Linked DNA regions of Anolis sagrei. The protein of the gene in region 2 interacts with the protein of the main gene of each other region in a biochemical or structural test. Links are inferred from orthologs where the notes say so. Each region holds a gene or a part of one and is shown on either strand. Other genes may lie near its edges.

Evidence for each region.
Region 1: of the proteins of STAT3 (region 2) and PTPN1, one has a biochemical effect on the other in vitro, tested with the Homo sapiens proteins (2 studies listed by BioGRID and IntAct). The link is inferred for Anolis sagrei from reciprocal best matches to the Homo sapiens genes STAT3 and PTPN1.

What each region holds. Positions count from the first base shown.
Region 1 is NC_090024.1:222,417,879-222,425,175, reverse strand, and holds the start of PTPN1 (tyrosine-protein phosphatase non-receptor type 1), read right to left. Parts: upstream 3,007-7,297; 5' UTR 2,822-3,006; coding exon 2,603-2,821; intron 1-2,602. UniProt on the Homo sapiens protein: Tyrosine-protein phosphatase which acts as a regulator of endoplasmic reticulum unfolded protein response. Mediates dephosphorylation of EIF2AK3/PERK; inactivating the protein kinase activity of EIF2AK3/PERK.
Region 2 is NC_090026.1:36,809,249-36,816,415, forward strand, and holds the start of STAT3 (signal transducer and activator of transcription 3), read right to left. Parts: upstream 3,004-7,167; 5' UTR 2,891-3,003; intron 1-2,890. UniProt on the Homo sapiens protein: Signal transducer and transcription activator that mediates cellular responses to interleukins, KITLG/SCF, LEP and other growth factors. Once activated, recruits coactivators, such as NCOA1 or MED1, to the promoter region of the target gene.

The sequences.
Region 1 (7,297 bases), on a different chromosome or scaffold from region 2:
GACATATATAAATGCAAACACGCATATATACACATATACACAGATATATACACACAAAAAACACATATACACAGACTGGGCCACAGCAGCGTGTGGTAGGGGACGGCTAGTCTATATAAATAAAAAACTAATGTTTGTTTGTGGGACTAATTTAACATAACTCAAAAGCCACTGGGCGAATCGACACCAAATTTGGACACAATACACGTATCAGGCCAACAAGTGACCATCACTCATAAAACACTGAAAAACACAGCGGAAGAGACTTAAAAAGCCAAAAATAAAAAATATATTACAATACATGTGCAAAACCACATATATACGCAAACACACTCGTATATATACACATATACACAAATATATACACACATATACACACAAAACATGTATACACAGGCTGGCCACAGCAACCCGTGGCAGGGGACAGCTAGTTACATATATAAACACAAACACACATATATGCACATATATATATTTATTTATTTATCATATTTATATACCGCCTCTCTCAGCCCAAAGGCAACTTGAGGTGGTTTACATTCGACAGTCAATGCCTCCAAACAACATTAAATACAGTTAAAAACATTACATATAATATAAACCGTATAAAAGCAATAAAAGCCATAAAGTCCTCAGCGTCTCATCACTAAAATCATTTTTCTGTTGCATCGTCCAATCGTTCGGTGGATCTCAATTAGTCTGTTACACTGTGTCTGCAAATGCCTGCTCAAACAGCAGCTCTTTTGAAATGTTAGGAGGGAGGGGGGCGATCTACTATCCCTAGGGAGGCCATTCCATAGTCGAGGGGCCACCGCTGAGAAGGCCCTGTCTCTCCCTGCCAATTGCATCTGCGAAGGGGACGGGACCGAGAGCAGGGCCTCTCCAGACGATCTTAAGCACCTAGATGGTTCATAGGGAGATATGTATAAACATACACACAAAACACATATACACAGACAGGGCCACAGCAATGTAGCCGAGGGGCCACCGCTGAGAAGGCCCTGTCTCTCGTTCCTGCCAATCGCATCTGCGAAGGGGGCGGGACTGAGAGCAGGGCCTCTCCAGATGATCTTAAGTGCTTCATAGGGGGAGATACATAAACACACACACAAAACACACATACACAGACTGGGCCACAGCGACGTGTGGCAAGGGGCGGCTAGTGGGAAGATAAAATGAAGAGTCCCATCACACGACTCTCTTTCGAAGTGTTATATCCCTAGGGAGGGCGTTCCATAGCCGAGGGGCCACCGCTGAGAAGGCCCTGTCTCTCGTTCCCGCCAATCGTATCTGCAAAGGGGGCGGGACTGAGAGCCTCTCCAGACAATCTTAAAGTGCCTAGATCAGTGGTTCTCAACCTTCCTAATGCCGCGACCCCTTAGTACAGGTCCTCATGTTGTGGTGACCCCCAACCATAATGTTATTTTTGTTGCTACTTCACAACTGTAATTTTGCTACTGTTGTGATTCATAATCTAAATATCTGATATGCAGGATGTATTTTCAGTCACTGGAACAAATTTGGCACAAATACCCAATATGCCCAAATTTGAGTACTGGTGAGGTTGGGGGTGATTGATTTTGTCATTTGGTAATGCTGGAGTTGCTGGGATTTATAGTTCACCTAAAATCAAAGAGCCTTCTGAACTCCACCAATGATGGAATTGAATCAAACTTGGCACACAGAATTCCCAAGACCAAGAGAAAATACTGGGAAGGTCTGGTGGACATTGACTTTGAGTTTTTTGGAGTTGTAGTTCACCTACTTGTAGAGAACACTGTGGACTCAAGCAATGATGGATCTGGATCAAACTTGGCACAAATACTCAATATGCCCAAATGTGAACACTGGTAGAGTTTGGAGAAAATAGACCTTGTCGTTTGGGAGTTGTAATTGTTGGGATTTATAGTTCACCCACAATGAAATAGCATTCTGAACCCCACCAACGATAGAATTGGACCAAACTTTCCACACTGAACCCCCATGACCAACAGAAAATACTATGTTTTCTGATGGTCTTTGGTGACCCCTCTGACACCCCCTCACGACCCCCATGGGGGTCCCAACCCCCAGGTTGAGAAACACTGGCCTAGATGGTTCTTAGGGAGAGATACACAAATACACACACAAAACATATATACACAGTCTGGGTCACAGGGGATGGCTAGTGCAAAGATACACACTTTCACACAATCCCTTATCAGCAGCTATGTCAATGCAAGCACCCCATAAACCAGGTATGGGCAAACTTGGGCCCTCCAGGTGTTTTGGACTTCAACTCCCACAATTCCTAACAGCCTACCGGCTGTTAAGAATTGTGGGAGTTGAAGTCCAAAACACCTGGAGGGCCCAAGTTTGCCCATAGCTGCCATAAACCAAGGGCAGGATGAGTGGGGGCTTGCATCTACTGGGTTTGCACTTGCACACACTGGAGTGGATGGGGAAAGTGGGTCCTGGGGGTGAGAAATGGGGAGGAGACCCATTTCCAAGGCCAGGAAAGCCAGGGCAAGAAGGCGAGAGGGAAAGGAAGGGAAGGGCCGAGCTTTGTCCAGCTTGAGAAGGCGGGGAAAGGGTGAGACAATGGGGTCCAGTCCCCTTTTACCTGGTAGATGGCGGCCCAGCTGTCTGCCTCGTCCATCCGGTGGAACTCCTTCTCGATCTCCATGCTGTTGGGGGGCCAGGCCTGGCCGGCCCCCTTCTTCTTCTTCTCTGCTCCTGCCTCTTCTCGTTCGGACCCTGGTTTTTCCTTCTCCTCCTCCTCCTCTTCTTCTTCCTCCTCCTCCTCTTCTTCCAGCCTCGGCTCTGCCTGCCTGCTCTGCATGGAGAGGCGCCTCCTCTTCCTCCTCCTCCTCCTTCTTCTTCTCCTCCTCGGCTCCGCTTCCCTTCTTCCTTCCCTTCCTTTCCTTCCTTCCTTCCTTCTCTGGCTTTTCCCAGCCCACGGGAAACGACGCACGCGGCTCGGAGGAGGAGGAAGGGGAGGAGAGAAGCCCGGCCTCCCGGAGAGAGAAGCAGCAAGAGGAGGGTTTAAGAGAAGGCTGGGCTTCTTTGGGAGGAAGGGAACAGGGAGGGCCAAGAGCCACTGACGCCACGCAGCCGCAAAGCCAAGGCGTCAAGAGCGCCTCTGGGCATGTGCAGACTGCCCACTCTCAGCCCACAATACTCTACAAGAGGCATGAGCAAGCTTCAGCCCTCGAGGTGTTTTGGACTTCAACTTCCACAATTCCTAACAGCCTACCGGTCAGTATGATCCTACAGCAGGCATGGGCAAGCTTGAGCCCTCCAGGTGTTTTGGACTTCAACTCCCACAATTCCTAACAGCCTACCGGATCATACTGACAATGTGTTGCCCCGGAATAGCAACATTGTCTAGCCCTTTCCTTAGACCTGAAAATGAAGAAAGTGCTGTATACAAAATTGCCTTCCTTCATAATCATATGACATTATTGTAAAAACTCAGCAAAGAGTACAGATACTAAACAAGAACGTTAAACAAGCCACGAGAGTAAAGACAAAGGGTCCTTCCACACAGCCCTATATCCCAGAATATCTGCTTTGAACTAAGGGTCTGTCCACACAGCCCTATATTCCAGAATATCAAGGCAGACAATCTGTGCTGGTACAGCTGTACCAGGAGCTTCAATTCTGTTTGCTTTGCATTAAATGTTTGTTTGCAATCCCAGGCTTGGGCTTTTGCAGCAGGGTGGCTTCCTGTTATAGTTTGCAATCATAAGGCAAGCCACCTGTCAGTTATAGTTAGGTTCCCTGGTCCCACTCCTTTTTGAGTTTTGGAGGGAATAGTAGCCTTTTTGAGTCAGTTCTCACAAAGAAGCCTTTCGCACAGGACATAAAACGAAGAGCTCCTGTAGAAAGCTTCATCTTCTACGGCTTAGCCGGGGAGATATATAGCCTACAGCCTGACTGGAGTTATACAGCCTTACAGCTCCTCTGCTGAGGGACTTCAGCCAGCCATCACAGCAACCTGGACTCCTTCTTTTCCCCTGGAAGTCTACAAAGCTCTGTCTGGTAAGGGTATCTCGCGGAAGCCAGAAGCAGTTGGTACCGGGTGTAGAGGCTCTATGCCAACAGAGGCAAGTACAGACTGCCCAGATTAGAAGTTAAGGATTTCCCCATTAGTTAATTACAGTTAAGAAGATAGTGCCTGTTCCCTGTGGACAAGATTGAGAGAGAGCCAATAGACTGTTAAGAAAGCTTTAAAGTACCTGTTTGTTTTCATCAATAAAGAACTTTGTTGAACCTTTAAGCAATCTAAAGACTTTGTTTTGGGGAGGCCTTTAATCTGAGGCAGACCCGGCGTCCCGTTGGGCACACAGAATTTATGTCCTGTCTACAGTCTTATGCACAGGCCCAGTGTGCGATAGCACAGTGAGTACCTTAAAAACAAAAGAACTAATGAACAAAATTTGGCAGCAAAAGGTCTCACAACACAAGGAGTGACCATCACTCAAAAAATTATGATTTTGTCATTTGGGAGTTGTAGTTGCTGGGATTTATAGTTCACCTACAATCAAAGAGCATTCTGAACTCCATCAACAATGGAATTGAACCAAACTTGGTACATAGAACTCCCATGGCCAACAGAAAATATTAGAAGGGTTTGGTGGGCATTGACCTTGAGTTTGGAAGTTGTAGTTCACCTATATCCAGAGAGCACTGTGGACACAAACAATGATGGATGGACTAAACTTGACACAAGCACTCAATACGCCCAAATATGAACACAGATGGAATTTAGGGAAAATAGACCTTGACATTTGGGAGTTGTAGTCACTGGGATTCTCAGTTCACCTAAAATCAAAGAGCATTCTGAACCTCACGAATGACAGAATCGGGACAAACTTCCCACACAGAACCCCCATGACCAACAGAAAATACTTAAGGCCATCCAATCCAACTCCTTTCATCAGGGCAAGAAAACGTAATCAAAGTCCTCCTGACAAAGAGCCATCCAGCCATAGATATAGATAGATAGATATGATTGACACACAGATATAGTATCATAGATTTGAAAGAGACCCCTAAAGAAGGACAATGATATCTTGCATGTTCCAGGGTGGGCAAACCAGACATTCTCCACATCAACACTGACAAAGAAACAGCAAGAAATACTGTTTATCCACAAGCATAAAGAAATCACATATATTAGAAACCAACACTTTCTCATTACTTTATTTTCGAGATCAACAGACTGGGCTACAGCAATGCGTGGCAGGGGACAGGTAGTAATAATCAAGAATGTTAAACAAGCCACGAGAGTAAAGACAACAGGTCCTTCCACACAGCCCTATATCCTAGAATATCAAGGCAGAAAATCCCACAGTATTGGCTTTAAACTGGGTTATCTGAGTCCACACAGTCATATATTCCAGTTCAATGTGGCACAGCTGGCTGGGAGTCACTGCATTAAGATCACTACTGACCAAAGGGTCATGAGTCCAAAGCCAGCCCAGGTCGGAGTGAGTGTCTGACCAATTTGTGTAGCTTGCTGCCGATCTTTGCAGCCCGAAAGACAATTGCATCTGTCAAGTAGGAAATTTAGGTACCACCTACATGGGGAGGCTAATTTAACTAATTTACAATGCCATAAAAATCTCCAGCAAGCCTGTAAAGAATGAGGAAGTACTTTATCAGTGTCACAAATGGATGGTGAAGCAACAGCTCCCCTGGTGGCCAGAACACCCTCATGAAAAATTGGAATGTTAAATTGCCTCTGTGTCTGTCTATATATGTTGTGTGTCTATGGCATTGAATGTTTGCCATGTATATGTACATTGTAATCCGCCCTGAGTCCCCTGCGGGGTGAGAAGGGCGGAATATAAATACTGTAAATAAATAAATAAATAAATGTAGTCCCTATGTGGACTTGTCCACAGCTGCATGGTATAAACATTAGACTCCTGTCCTTTGCAGAACTTAGCATTTGTTGGATTTTCTTAGGGCACTTCCACACAGCCCTATATCCCAGAATATAGAGTATAGGTTGTGTTTCTTCATCAGCTTCCCTATGTGGTCAGTGGTTCCCTTGATGTATGGTAAGAACAGATAACCCAGTTCAAAGCAGATATTGTGGGCTTTTCTGCCTTGATATTTTGGGATTTAGGGCTGTGTGGAAGGGTCCTGGGTTATCTGAAGGCCTTTTAACATAGTCCTAGATCCCAGAATATCAAGGCAGAAAATCCCACATCATCTGAGTGTGGATTCAGATAACCCAGTTCAAAGTAGATATTGTGGGATTTTTTGCCTTGATATTCTGGGTTATAGGGCTGTGTGGAAGGGCCCAGAGATCCACCCAGGGGAAAAGTGTTCTTACTATAGCTCAAGGGAACCACTGACCGGATTTTCTGGTATTTCCTTTATGGTGCCATAAAATACCTCTCCGCTTAAAGCAGTGCCTAATTTCTCTACTCACAGCACACAGCTGTTTTTCAACTGTTTAGGTGGACAGTAAGCTGGGCTGAAGGTTGGGTGCTCACCCCGACCTGGGCTTCAAACTGCCAACCTTTCAATGGATAAGATCTATTGCAGCTGGTGATTAACCAGCTGTGCTAAAGCCTGTTGTTTTGAATCACACCCTCAGACTCAATGAGCCATGAAATTGACAAAAGAAGCACCAATGTATTGTCCCTGTGTACATTTGCACTGTACAATTAAAGCTGTTTAGCATAATTTTAAGTGTCCTGGCTCAATGCTATGGGATTATGGGGGCTGTCATTTCACAAAGTCTTTAGCTTTCCCTAGCAAAGAGTGCTGGTGCTTCCCCAAACCGCAACTCCTAGATTCCATTGTAATGAACTGTAACAGTTGAAGAGTCATAGTCCAACTCTAAGACCACCATAGTATGCTGATTCTTAAAACAAACAAACAAACAAACAGAGAGACAGACAAATAAATCTTCATTTATATTTCGCCCTATTTCCCCGAAGGGACTCAGGACGGATTCCAATCACAAAAAAAGGCAAACATTCAATGCCTGAACAGAACAAGTAATAGACACATAAGAACAAAAATTAAACTCCACTTACTACTGAAATTCCTGGAAATCATCAAAGACAAGGTGCTGAGGGAATTCACAAAACATTTTCCTGTGGCTTGTTCATTTTTAAAAAAAATCATTTGACTCTATAAGCTGCTAATCTTTGGTACAAAACACACACTTCTCCTGTCTTCCAAAGGAGATGATAAGATGTTGGCAGCCTGGGCCACAGAATGTCCCTGCACTTTATATTATTTTTCTATTCTTTAGGCAGTATCACCATTACAGTCCATAGTGATTTGCAAA
Region 2 (7,167 bases):
TGATACCTTTGCATTCTGACGGTTCAATGCACATAAACTTTATTTCATGGGAAAAATATTGAAAATACTGTATACATTTACTTTCAGAGTGGGTGTGTAAAGTATAAAGGTTAAGATTTCCCCTTGACATTAAGTCTAGTCGTGCCTGACTCTGGGGGGATGGTGCTCATCTCCATTACTAAGCCGAAGAGCCAGCATTGTCCACAGACGCCTCATTGGTTATGTGGCCAGCTTGACTGCATGGAGCACCATTCCCTTCATATTGAGGTGGTACCTATTGATCTACTCACATTTGCATGTTTTCAAATTGCTAGGTTGGCAGAAACTGGGGCTAACAACAGGAGCTCATCCTGTCTGCAGATTTGAACTGCCGACCTTCCAGTCAGGAAGTTCAGCAGCTCAACGGTTTAATGTGTTGCACCACCGTGGCCCCCAGAAGTGCAGAAGAAAAAAGAAACGGAAACTATAATGTCACTGCCCTCATTGACTATGCCCTGGCATTCCATGTTTTCAAACTGCTAGGTTGGCAGGAGCTACAGCTAACAACGAAAGCTCACCCTGGATGCGGATTCAAACCGCCAACCTTCTGATCAGCAAGTTCTGCAGCTTAGCGGTTTAACCCGCTGTGCCACTGCAGCCCCTTAAAGTATATATGAAGTACATATGAAACAAAAAAAACATTTCAGGTTCAGATGTGGGTTCAATGGCCAACTGTATGTCAACATTGTAGAACGAATGCAGTTTAACATCACTTTCCCCGCCATGACTCAATACTATGGAATCATGGGAGTTGTAGGATGCCATCACTCTTTGGCGGAGACAGCTGGTTAAACTGTATAGCATTTTTAGGCATGTTAATAGGTTTTAACTGTTGATCTAAGTAGTTGTGATGTTTAATCGTATTTTAGTGTTTAGTGGGTTAAACCACTGAGCTGCTGAACTTGCTGACCAAAAGGTCACAAGTTCAAATCTGGGGAGCAGCATGAGCTACCAATGTTAGCCCCAGCTTCTGTCAACCTAGCAGTTTGAAAACATGCAAATGTGAGCAGATCAGTAGGTACCACTTCGGCAGGAAGATGACGGTGCTCCATGCAGTCATGCAGGCCACATGACCTTGAAGGTGTCTATGGACAACGCTGACTCTTCGGCTTAGAAATGGAGATGGGCACCACCCTCCAGAGTTGGACACAACTGGACTTAATATCAGGGGAAAACCTTTACCTTTACCTGTGTTTTTAGCCGCTTTGAGTCACCTTGGGGAGAGAATCAGCAAGGTATAAATAATAATAATAATAATAATAATATCTGATGTGTGATCCAATGCAAAACCCAGCATTGCTGTGTACTAATCGTGTTGAGTACAAAATAATAATAATAATAATAACTGTATATTGTGTTGTTTTACCAGGCATGGGCAAACTTTGGCCCTCCAGATGTTTTGGACTTCAATTCCCACAATTCCTAACAGCCGGTAGGCTGTTAGGAATTGTGGGAGTTGAAGTCCAAAACATCTGGAGGGCCGAAGTTTGCTCATGCCTGTGTTAGCGCTTTGGGTCTCTTTTCAGGCTTTAAATAAATAACCATAATATATAATAACTATAATATATAATATAATGTGTTATATTGTTTTGTATTTTATTCTCATTATATTTTACTGTATGTATTTATGTTGTATATTTGCTGTACCCTTGGGCTTGGCCTCATGTAAGCCACCCCGAGTCTCCTTGGGGATATGGTGGCGGGGTATAAATAAAGTTTTATTATTATTAGTAGTAGTAGTATTTCATGGCCTGGAATCACTGGGTTGTTGGGAGTTTTCCAGACTGTCTGGCCACATTCCAGAAGCACTCTCTCCTGACGTTTCGCCTGCATCTATGGCAGGCATCCTGAGGATATAAAACCCACTTTCTTAGTTTCGAACAAGCCTCACAACCTCTGAGAATGCTTGCCATAGATGCAGGTGAAACATCAGGAGAGAATGCTTCTGGAACATGGCCAGACAGTTTGGAAAACTCCCAGCAACCAATAATAATAATAATAATAATAATAATGACGACAACAACAGCTCTCGTGATTCTATAGAAGGCATAATAAGCATAATAACAACAACAATAATGTCTGATATGTGATCAAATAGACAAGCCAACATAGTGATCTTGTTTTCTGTGTACTAATATTATTGTGTATCAGATAATAATAATAATGATAACTGTATATTGTATTGTTTTACCAGGCATGGGCAAACTTGGGCCCTCCAGGTGTTTTGGACTCCGGTAGGCTGTTAGGAATTCTGGGAGTTGGGAGTCCAAAACACCCGGAGAGCCCAAGTTTGCCCATGCCTGTTCTATAGCATTCTAATAATAGTAATAATAATAATGGGATCTTGTTTGCTGTGTACTAATCTTGTTGTGTATCAGATAATAATAGTAATAATAATAATAACAACAACAACAACTGCATACTGTATTGTTTTACCAGGCATGGGCAAACTTGGGCTCTCCAGGTGTTTTGGACTCCAACTCCCGGCTGTTAGGAATTCTGGGAGTTGGAGTCCAAAACACCTGGAGGGCCCAAGTTTGCACATGCCTGTTCTATAGCATAATAATAATAATAATATCAAGTGATGTCAAACTGCATTCCTTCTACAGTGCAGATCAGGCATGCCATAGTTAAGTTTGGTAGTACTTAGGAAACTCCAAATCCCACCCTCCCTCAGCAAACCCACCTCCTCCCTCCCGCAACGTGTTTCCTTCCTGTGTTCCCGTTCCCAGCCCTCAAACTGACGGGAAAGTCCCTCCAAGCTTTCCTGGAAGCCATGCCCCTCGTTGCAGAGGAGCAGCAATCTCAGAGGTTTGCACTCTGCACATGCTTTGCCTCCTCTCCAGCCTACCTTTCCAATCCCCTCCGCCGGGACCGAACTTCCCTTCCGCTGGCTCTCCTTCCCCAGCGCCGCCTGGCTCACTCTCCAAGCCCTGCCCCAGCTGCTGGCTCCCGGGGAGTCCCGCCCCCTCGGCGGCGACACTGATCGAAGCCGGCCAATCGCCGCCGCGCTCTGAGGGTTCTTCGGCAGGGGGCGCTCTCCGGCGGCCAATCAGCGCGCGCCTCCGCTTTCACTCTTCACCGGGCTGTTCCGGGCTCGGCTTCCTCCTCCCGCTGCTCTTCTGGAAAGCCAGCTGAGTTCCGGGCAGTGTGTGACGTCGGCAGCGCTGCTGTTGTCTTCGCCCCGGAGGGCGGGGGCGTGTGTGTCTGACTGTTTGGAATCCTTAGGCTGCTCCTGATTGGCTGAGAGGAACACATAGGGATGAGTGGGCTAGGCAGTGGGAGAAGGGCTTTCATGTGCACCTAGGTAGCCATCCCATCCCCTTGTGGAGCCTAATAATAATAATAATAATAATAATAATAATAATACAATACTATATAATCTATATAAACTCAAAAACCACTGGGGGAATTGACACCAAATTTGGACACAAGACACCTAACAACCCAATGTATGTCCTCCACTCAAAAAAAATGATTTTGTCATTTGAGAGTTGTAGTTGCTGGGATTTATAGTTTACCTGCAATCAAAGAGCATTCTGAACTCCACCAATGATGGAATTGGGCCAAACTTAGCACACAGGGCTCCCATGACCAACAGAAAAAACTGGAAGGGTTTGGTGGACATTGACCTTGAGTTTGGGAGTTGTAGTTCACCTACATCCAGAGAGCACTGTGGACTCAAACAATGATGGATCTGGACCAAACTTGGCACGAATTCTCGATATGCCCAAATATGAACACAGATGGAGTTCGGGGGAAATAGACCTTGACATTTGGGATTTGTAGTTACTGGAATTTATAGTTGAACCAAACATGGCATACAGGACTTCCATGACCAACAGAACACACTGGAAGGGTTTGGTGGGCATTGACCTTGATGGAGTTTAAGGGAAATAGACCTTGACATTTGGGAGTTGTAGTTGCTGGGATTTATAGTTCACCTGCAATCAAAGAGCATTCTGAACTCCACCAATGGTGGAATTGAACCAAACATGGCATACAGGACTTCCATGACTTCCATGACCAACAGAACACACTGGAAGAGTTTGGTGGGTATTATTATTATTATTGTTATTATTATTATTACTACTATTATTTTACTGACACAAAAATACAGTATGTCACAGCAAATGATGTATTTCCGAATGATGCACACAGATCCAAGTAAGGTGGCCTCTGGTGTTGCCGCAAGGAGGTCCTCCATTGTGCATATGGCAGGGCTCAGGGTGCATTGCAGCAGGTGGTCTGTGGTTTGCTCTTGTCCACACTCGCATGTCATGGATTCCACTTTGTAGCCCCATTTCTTAAGATTGCCAGAGCGCAGTCTGTTCAGCACCTTCCAAGTTGCCCAGTCTTCTGTGTGTCCAGGGGGGAGTCTCTAATTTGGTATCAGCCAGTGGTTAAGGTTCTGGGTTTGAGCCTGTGACTTTTGGACTTTCACTTGCTGAGGTGTTCCAGCGAATGTCTCTGTAGATCTTAGAATATTTCTTGATTTAAGTCATTGACGTCCTGGCTATACCCAAAGAAGGGATGAGCTGGAGATGTCACTGCCTTGGTCCTTTCACTATTGGCTGCTACTTCCCGGCGGATATCAGGTGGTGCAATACCAGCTAAGCAGTGTAATTTCTCCAGTGGTGTAGGGCGCAGACACTCCGTGATAATGCGGCATGTCTCATTAAGAGTCACATCTACTGTTTTAGTGTGGTGAGAAGTGTTCCACACTGGGCATGCGTACTCAGCAGCAGAGTAGCATAGCACAAAAGCAGATGTCTTCACTGTGTCTGGTTGTGATCCCCAGGTTGTGCCAGTCAGCTTTCGTATGATATTGTTTCTAGCGCCCACTTTTGGTTGATATTCAGGCAGTGCTTCTTGTAGGTCAGAGCACGGTCCAGGGTGACTCCCAGGTATTTGGATGTGCTGCAGTGCTCCAGTGGGATTCCTTCCCAGGTAATCCTCAAGCCCCCCCCCCCCCCGGGCCGGCTACATGCCTGTTCTGGGCCTTTGGCCCTTGCTGAATAGGGTTTTCTCAGAATTGTCTCCTAACTTAATCTTCCAAGATCTACCCAAATTCTCTGTACTGTGACCCAAGACAGAGAGAATACAAGAGAAAGGAGGAAGTTGTCACTTTAGTCTCCTCAGGGCAGAGGTGAGTGAGAGATGGCTTGCAAGATTAGGTGGTAGTTTCTTGCTCTCCTTGCTCTGAAAGACTTCCCATTTTATTTCCTTCTCAGCTGGAGGGAACTGAGTTTGCTGCTTGGCCCAATCCCTGTTGCCATGTCACCCAGAAGAAATGTCACTGCATAAAAGAGAAGTTGCCCTTGGCACAAAGAACTGCCTTTGCCATTTCACTGCCCCTCCAATGGCAAGGATAGGATGGATCACAGAGCTGAAATCAAGATGTCCCACAGCAGCAATTCCCAAACTTTTTTTTGGTCATGGAACCATTCAGAAAATGTTTTCCCCCACAGAACCCTGATTTTCCTGCAGAACCATAACTCTGTGCCTAAGCACTGTGAACCCACAAAGTGCTTCTTTGTTTCATCTACTCCTGTTATCTGGTTGTTTTGTATATTGTAGGTTTGAAAACTAAGAGATCCAAATTTCACTTTTACAGCAGAGGTATATTGAATTGAAATAAGATCTTCGTATTCTGGCAAAGATTTTTAAATATATTTTTTAAAGATTTGAAATATTTTTGGATATGGCTCCGGCCCAGCTTACTTATCCAAACGTATCTCTCTCTACGTTCCGCCTTGTAGTTTAAGATCGTCAGGGGAGGCCCTGCTCTCGGTCTTACCAGCTTTGCAAACGCATTTGGTAGGGACGAGGGACAGGGCCTTCTCGGTGATGACCCCCTGCCTGTGGAATTCGTTCCCCAGTGAGATCAGGTCGGCTTCATCCCTCCTTTCCTTTAGGAAGAAATTAAAATCATGGTTTTGGAACCAGGCTTTTGGCCAGCAGGCGTGACAGCACCTTGGATGTCGAACTGGACTACATGGTTGTGATAATGATATAAATGGCTATATGATTATGATAATAATGTTTTAACTGTTTTAAATTATATTGTTTTATTTATTGTTTATATTGCTGTTATAGTTGTCATATTGTTGCAGTATCAAACTGTTGCCAGTGTAAGCTGCTCTGGGTAGAAATGTAAATAATAATAATAATAATAATAATAATGCTTTGTTGGAACCCTAAGACTCCATGGAACATAGTTTGGGAACTGCTGCCCTAAAGTATTCCAATTTTAAGGGGTCCCATTGTAGCAAAGGGCCCCTTGTGGCGCAACAGGTTAAACCACTGAGCTGCTGAACTTGCTGACTGAAAGGTTGGTAGTTCGGATCGGGGGAGTGAGGTGAGTTCCCGCTTTGAGGTCCAGCTTCTGCCAACCTTGGAGGTCGAAAACATGCAATTGTGAGTAGATCAATAGATACCATATAGTCATGCTGGCCACATGACCTTGGAGGTGTCTACAGACAACACCAGCTCTTTGGCTTAGAAATGGAGATGAGCATCACCCCCCAGAGTCGGATATGACTAGACTTAATGTCAGGGGAAGCCTTTACCTTTACCTTGTAGCGTTACCCAAACTTGTAGCTTAGGGTTGTTTGATATTAATTTAATATCTGTAAGTCATTTAAGTTGTGAGTAAACCCAAGGCAAGCAGGTCAAAGTATCTGTCCTATACAGATTCTGGGAACTGCCTTATGTCAACTCAGCAATAGTATTTCTATCCAGGTATGGTGGCTCTCCAAGGTTTCATGCCAAGGGCTTTTCCAAACTGATGTGCACATGGTTAAGACAGAATGTGTGACCTCAACCACAATATTAACTACAGCCCTTCCCATTTTGCTGGCTTAGTCTCTCACAACATCCCAACCCCATTAAGCAGAGAAAGAGAATGAATGGGATTTCCAGTTCATTTGCTCTACCTTTCTCTGAGTAATGCAGGAAGGCCACGTCCTCCTTCCGACAATGCTAAGACGAGAGACAGTAAGTCAGTAAGAAGTAAGTGGCCACTGCCAATCCCCATCTCTGAGTATTTTTGCTTGACACAGTCCTTAATGTGCACTACTGTTATGTGTAGAGAGGGAGGACCCTATCACACTATATACAGTAGTT